Yarrowia lipolytica: one gene and its partner. The protein of the gene in region 2 interacts with the protein of the main gene of each other region in a pairwise test. Links are inferred from orthologs where the notes say so. Each region holds a gene or a part of one and is shown on either strand. Other genes may lie near its edges.

Evidence for each region.
Region 1: the proteins of YALI1_F15517g (region 2) and YALI1_D26467g interact in binary tests that used the Saccharomyces cerevisiae proteins (3 or more experiments, as listed by UniProt). The link is inferred for Yarrowia lipolytica from reciprocal best matches to the Saccharomyces cerevisiae genes SAH1 and CAF16.

Annotation. Positions count from the first base shown.
Region 1 is NC_090773.1:2,644,791-2,647,915, reverse strand, and holds YALI1_D26467g (uncharacterized protein), read right to left. Parts: upstream 1,265-3,125; coding exon 503-1,264; downstream 1-502. Other genes in the region: YALI1_D26454g (uncharacterized protein), read right to left, coding at 2,222-2,379, 2,430-2,544.
Region 2 is NC_090775.1:1,549,657-1,553,711, forward strand, and holds YALI1_F15517g (uncharacterized protein), read right to left. Parts: upstream 2,139-4,055; coding exon 789-2,138; downstream 1-788. Other genes in the region: YALI1_F15533g (uncharacterized protein), read left to right, coding at 3,696-3,710. UniProt on the Saccharomyces cerevisiae protein: Adenosylhomocysteine is a competitive inhibitor of S-adenosyl-L-methionine-dependent methyl transferase reactions; therefore adenosylhomocysteinase may play a key role in the control of methylations via regulation of the intracellular concentration of adenosylhomocysteine.

The DNA of each region.
Region 1 (3,125 bases), on a different chromosome or scaffold from region 2:
TGTAGATGCACACCTGAAACTCGTACCTTTAGCAGCACTGGGGTTCCGATGCCGATCTCCATCAACCTAATCCGGGCCCCAGCCGCGTCGTATCCATCGTATCTGATTAGTAATGGCGTTGGAGATCAGTTGTGAAAATATCAAGTAAAAGTGCAAGAGCTGCTCTGTCGTCTAATGTGGTTTGCTGATACTCTACTCGGACAGTCAGCTATAGTCCATGGAGTATCACCACTCTCCAACTCGACACTAAAGACACAAAGAAGCCATCTGGCTAGTGTATAGATTGCTCACGCAACCCTAGTGGGTATCACATCGGGTCTTAAGGGCGATATTATGTCAGATCTCTCTTGGCTTATGTTTAGCGCCGTTTTGACTTAGTCACCTTGGCTGACGCAAGACAAGAAGCTGTCTAATACCATTGGAACCATATCATTAGTATCAGATCTATTATATATCTACATGTACATTGGTCGATGTATCTATCGCACTGTCGGTGGATAGCCTAGTTAACCCTCTGTCTCTTTGCTCTGGGGAGGCGAGGCCCACGCCGTTCCATATCCCCGGTGATCCAGCCCAGTGCAATTTCCAGAATGCTCTTGCCAGGGAACTCCCGCTGGACCACATCGTAGGTGTCGCAACTCAACATGGTGGACTGGCTCATATGGGCAACGTGCGTAGGCCACTGGTTGAGGCCGTCGAAAATATGGGTGGCGTAAACAATGGTGGCTTGTCGGGTCTCGGTCTCCTCCTTGAGGAAGTTGAGCAGGTTAGTTCGGGCCAGAACGTCCAGATCAACCGTCACCTCGTCCAGCAGAAGAGTTTCCCACGGCACCAGCAGTCCCATGACTAGCTGCACTCGCCGACGCTCTCCGTCAGACACCTCGTGCATGTGCCAGGTGGGATCCACGTCCAGCAGCTGCACAAGATGGTCTCGTCGGTCAGGATAGGCATCTCCTCCGGCGTACTTTAGCAGCTGGGTGACCTCAATGTCGTGTCTCACGATTGGATTGCCGGCCCATTCGGTGCCCAGGTACCGGATTCCAGGAGGAGAACAGTCTCGGAAGGGATCAAAGCCCTGGACAATGAGACTGTCGGCCTTGGCGAGGGTCTTTCCCGCCAGAATTCGCAGCAACGTCGACTTTCCAGCTCCATTGGCTCCGATCAGCAACGTTCTAGACCCGGGAGGCAGGTCGAACGAGGTGGGATGGATGCCCACAAGCCCATTGGGGAAGGTGTAGGAGAGGTTTTGCGCCGTGATCGACATTGTGTGTGCTTTTGTGCAATTGGGCAATGGGTGCAACTACTTGTCAGGTTTGTCGTCCAACTCCACCAACAGCCCACGGCACGCCATTTACCTGCATGAAGGTGCATACTCAGCTGTAGGCCGTATGTTGGGCCGGGTAACCCACCCATGGGAGACTACAAAAAAAAAGTTGCAGGCCTAATCTTCTTCTCCCCACCCACCACCACTTCGGAGAAACGCAGCAACCAGTGGAGTCCGTTTTGGCCTCTGCCATGGAGCCATGACCGCAATCGTTCGGAGGGGGGGAGATCAAAATGGCCCTTTTCGCTAACACCAATCTGAAATGTATCCACAGATGGAGTTTGATAGTAGAGTGGCGTACATGTTATATACTTGGAGCACATGTGAGCGGATGTGTCGGCGATTAGTAACGAGTTGTACCGACGAGACAGCTTTTCTAACCCTTGAAAACTCGGCCTTGGTGACAAGTCTCGGAAGTGTTCAGTTCAGAGCTACGAGTAGTTCCATGAACGAACTCATTCAAACTTCACTCAAAACTTCACTCCAAAAACGAGATCAGTTGCTCATTGACAGTTGCCGAGTATTCACAGCTAGCAAAGAAGAGTGGCGAAGAGTGGCGGTACGAGTGTCGCCTTCGGATCAAGTCCAAAGGCCATTTTCAGGGTCTAAAGACAGCTTTCCTAGGGTATAGTTGGTAAGTAGGAGTACCGCTATTGTGCCAGTAGAATGTACCATTCTCACTCTGTAGAATTGGGCCTGACTAATATTTGAGCTTCACTCACTCGACTTGGCCACTGTTTCATTCGTATGCTCTTAGACTGTCTGAGACCAAGAGCTATAGGTTTGGCGGTGGGACGAGCGTGAGGAAGGAGTTCTGCGATGAGTCTGTTGAAACCCAAGTCGTACAAGTCCTCCTAATTACAAGTACTCGTACTCTTAGGTGTCTTTGCCGATCTGCTACCTACATTCCAGCCACATATCCGTGCTCCAGTCGAGACAACTTTCTGTAGCCCAACTATTCTCGGATTTAGCGGCCAGCTGTAGTACGAGTACGAGTGCAAGTATGTACCCACCCACCTGAACTGTCGAAGACTTCACCTCCACGCTGGCGTAGACTTGTGCAGTAGCATTGTGCGGAGATAGATTGTCGGTCAACGCCTAATACTTATAGAGAAGGACGGCCAACTGCTATTCTGAATCAATCGATAGCTTTCTCGATAACCCACTCCACCCAACGAAGCTCTTGTTTGAGTCCCCATTAGCATTCCGCTGATAGCCATTTTTCAGCCCTGTTTCAGCCCTTGGGTGGATCAGACTTTCATTTGCTGCTCCGGCAGACGCCCAGGTTTGCAGACAAGAACGCGCGACTGTTTCGGGGGGTTTATGGTTATCTGGAAACCGGTGGTGGTGGATCAGGTGCAAGTGGTTCTAGAGCCCATACCAAGGCAGAATGAGTGTCCTGACCAGACCCCACTGTTAGCTGGAACTACCATGTAGTGGCAGCATTGGCACACACGCTGCCAGTCCATGACTCTTGGATCCTCACAAGGAAACCGCAGCCGACATGGCGCATTAGAAGGCACTGAGGGTTTGAGGGTTTGATGGTCGGGGTGGGTCGTGGAATCGTTGCAAATTGGCGTGTAGGAAGGTCAAAAGAGCTCCTCTTGGTTATCTCTGCACCCTGGCCATTGTGCGCCGCGATAAGAGACGCTAACGGGCGATATCTGTGGGGTAACGGAGCTTGGCCTGTGATATCTGGCGGGATTCTCCTCTGATCCATCGGGCCAGGGTCCTGTTCCGCCGGATCAACCCAGAAATAAGCTCCTTTTTTTGCAGATTCCGCACTCCATGGGCGACTTTG
Region 2 (4,055 bases):
TAAACCAAGTCATTTGGGCTCTACTGCTATAACTACTCTCAATTATGGACACACAACTCACCAGATAGCCTCAGTAAAAGTCACACACAGAATCACACATGGTCAACTTATTTACATATATATAGTACCATTATACTCGGAAGATCAGGAGAAATCGAATGGTAGTAGTTTAAAGGCTCTATCATAACCGTGGCGTATGTTGTAACGAAAGCATGTCCCGAAAACATGTCCCCCACGTGCCCCCACCCGAGTTTCCGAGCCGCACGGTGGGGGAGGGGGAACAACTTTTGGATGATCTAGAGATGCGCAATTGTCAATCGATTTGCCAGCAATATCCAGAAATGACATGTCCTCATGTGTAAATGTCACGTGGTAAATATCCGTCACGTGAAGTACTCATGAGGCGAGTCTTGGCCAGGTCTATTCTCTATTCTGGTTGTCTCCTATGAGTGTTGAGGAGATCATTGTATCGCACGTACCTTGTGAGATTTGGTTTTACCGACGATGTGCAGTTATATCATCCAGTCTTTAAACGAGTGAGTTGAACTACATTGCAGTGTTCAGGTCTACGTTCAACTGAGGGCAGATGTCTTTTTATTCTCAATTGCGACTTGCTCTGTCTCAGGTACTCTGCCCAATCTCGCAACGCTCGATTGGTCTGTCGATGATATCATCAATTACTAACCCGTTGAGGGACTATATACTCTTAATAAATAATTAAGCTGGCACTAGCCAGATGCAGTTGATGCTTAAAGCGGGCTTAGAAGCAGACACTAGCGGTTAAGCGCTTAGTATCGGTAAATGTCGGCCTTGTAGGGACCCTCCTGGGCAATTCCCAGGTACTCGGCCTGAACGTCGGACAGCTTGGACAGCTTGACGCCAAGGTGGTCGAGATGAAGTCGGGCAACCTCCTCGTCGAGAATCTTGGGCAGCACGTGGACGCCGACCTCAAAGGGACCGGACTTGGCAAACTCAACGTGCTTCTTTCGGAACTCGTCATTCTTGGCGTTGAACAGAGCAATCTGGGCCAGAACCTGGTTAGTGAAAGAACAGGACATGACGAAAGAGGAGTGACCGGTGGCACAGCCAAGGTTGACCAGTCGGCCCTCAGCAAGGAGGATCACGTGTCGGCCGGAGGGCATCTCAAATCGGTCGACCTGGGGCTTGATGTTGACCACGTTCTTGGCGTTGGCCTTGAGCCAGGCAACGTCAATCTCGATATCGAAATGACCAATGTTGCACACAATGGCGTCGTTAGGCATCTGGGAGAAGTGCTCGCCAGTGATAATGTCTCGGCAACCGGTGGTGGTGACGAAGATCTGACCGACCTTGCAGGCCTCCTCCATGGGGAGAACCTGGTAGCCAGAAACAGAGGCCTGGAGGGCGTTGATGGGGTCAATCTCGGTAACAATGACTCGGGCACCGAAAGACTGAAGAGCCTGGGCGCAGCCCTTTCCGACATCTCCGAATCCGGCGACAACAGCGGTCTTACCGGCAATCATAACATCGGTGGCTCGCTTGATACCGTCGATCAGAGACTCTCGGCATCCGTACAGGTTATCAAACTTGGACTTGGTGACAGAGTCGTTGACGTTGATGGCGGGGACCTTGAGCTTGCCCTCCTTCATCATTCGGTAGAGATGGTGGACACCGGTGGTGGTCTCCTCGGACAGACCGAAACAGTCATCGAGCTGCTCGGGGTACTTCTCGTGAACCAGAGTGGTCAGATCTCCACCGTCGTCAAGAATCATGTTGAGCTTCTTGCCGTCCTTGAAGGCCTTGAGCTGCTGCTCAATGCACCAGTTGTACTCCTCCTCGGTCTCGCCCTTCCAGGCAAAGACGGGAACGCCGGCGGCGGCAATGGCGGCAGCGGCATGGTCCTGGGTGGAGAAAATGTTGCAGGAAGACCAGGTCACCTCGGCTCCAAGAGCAACCAGAGTCTCAATCAGAACGGCGGTCTGAATGGTCATGTGCAGACATCCGGCGATTCGGGCGCCCTTAAGAGGCTGGACAGCAGCATACTTCTCTCGAGTCTGCATCAGACCGGGCATTTCGTTCTCGGCGAGCTCGATCTCCTTTCGACCAAAAGCAGCAAGACCGATATCGGCAACCTTGTAGTTGGGGGGGGGGGCGGACATTTTCGGGGGGGTTGTAAAGTGGGGGTTTGTTGGGAAAATTCCTAAAGATCAAAAAGGAAAAAAATCAAAGAAAAAGAGAGCCCCAGCTGTCTATATATAATCTTTGGGATTTTAGTAGGTTTGAAAAAGTTTCAGACCGGGTAACCCACGTGGAGGAGCAGCGAAGCCGGCCCAAAATCGACGAGAAATGCTCCAATTGGAATTCCGGAAATTGGAATCGACTCCTGACACTGAATTGAATCCTTTTGTACGAAAAAATTGCAGAAAGAACATCACAAGCAGCCTTCTCCAACACCCCAACAAGTTCAGGACACGTTGATCTAATTCTCCACACAACTTTAATTGCACAGCTGATTTGGAACCGGGTGGAAGGTCACGGTGATCACGTGATGCAAAGGCGGAGGAGGGGGAATTTTTTTGTCCTATTGGGTCATATTACCGAAAAGGAGCGCAAAACCCGCCCAATTATTGAGTCACATGAGCCTGAATCAACAATCCCCCCAATTACCGCCCCCTTCCTCCCTCTCGTATGTCACATAGTTGCAGACGAGCTAAACGAGAATAACCAGACCCGGGTATGCACGTGCAAAAAAGGCGGGTTTGGGTAGGGTTGGGGGTTTTGTATTGGGATATTGAGGTTAGGGTATCCCGATTAGGACATTAAGGTTAGGGTAGCCCATTGGTGTTTCTGCAAAGATTGAGCCGCTTCTCTCCACAGAAAGCAGCCCGGGTTAGGGACCGGTTTTTACGATCACCGCTGGGTTAGGGTAAATCCGATGGGGAATTGAGTTTCTCGGTTTCCCATTAGAGTTTTGAACGGATGACTCAAATGAGTCATTTACCAACCAACCGACCTTGTGCGAATGAAGTAAGTTCGTCCAAGACTGGTTGTTTGGTGACTTGTTTTTGTGCGTCGCGTTTGTTGTGATTTTATCATTTTAGCTGGGTAATACTTGATCACGTGACTACATATGGCTAGTTCTGTTTTTTCCCATTGTTTTTTTGTCTTTTTTGACCGAGAAATGAGGGTTTTGGTATGGCACTAATCATCGTGTAATTGTAATTGATTATCGTGCAATTTGGAATTAGAGAATTTTTTTTGGCTTTGTGTTTGTGTTCCAATGTTTATAAAAGGTGGTGGTTTCCTCGGTTCCTTTTTTCGTCGTTTTCTCGTTCCACTTGTCCGCCATTCACCTGTTTTGTGGTTCTTTTGTGGTTGATTTGTGAGTTTTGTCCTTTGGTCCGTGGTTTTTTGAGACTCTTGGTTTGTGTTTTTGGAGTTGACAGGAGGTATTGAGAGGCATAGGAGGTGGTTAGGAGTTGGAGAAAAAATGGTTGAATTTTTCCACTTTGTTTCCACTTTTTTTTCACTTTTTTCCCACCTTTTATTTGATTTGATTTGATTTGATTTATTTTTTATCATTTTTTATTCATTTTATTTCCCTTTTCCCGGTCGCGGTAACCTTGACCTCCCTCCCACGGCCGGGTAAGTCGCGATAACCCGATCTGACCTTAAGACACATCTGCCGCCAAATCAAAGTTGCACTAGTCATTATCATGGGTCGACCGAGAGTGAGTATGGGCTAGGAGGCCGGCAAAGAGGTGTTTCGGGATGGCTCGGGGCTCCTTGGAACGGTTCGGGACGGCTTCAGAGGACAGGCTAGGAACGCCAGTGAGTGATGACCCATTTCAGATCAAGTCGGTTTTTGTGGTCCAAAGTCGCTCCCATTCTATCGGCGATAGTATCAACCGAAGCAGAATCGAGCTAGGAGCGCTGCGGGGTTGCGGCGGTCGTGTTGCGACGTTTTTGGCCGAGTTGCGGCGACTTTGTGATCAGGACGTTGCGATCTGGATGTGGTGGAGACGCCAGTGAGATGATGCACCAATGAGAAGCGGCTTATTGTTGTCGAACTTTTG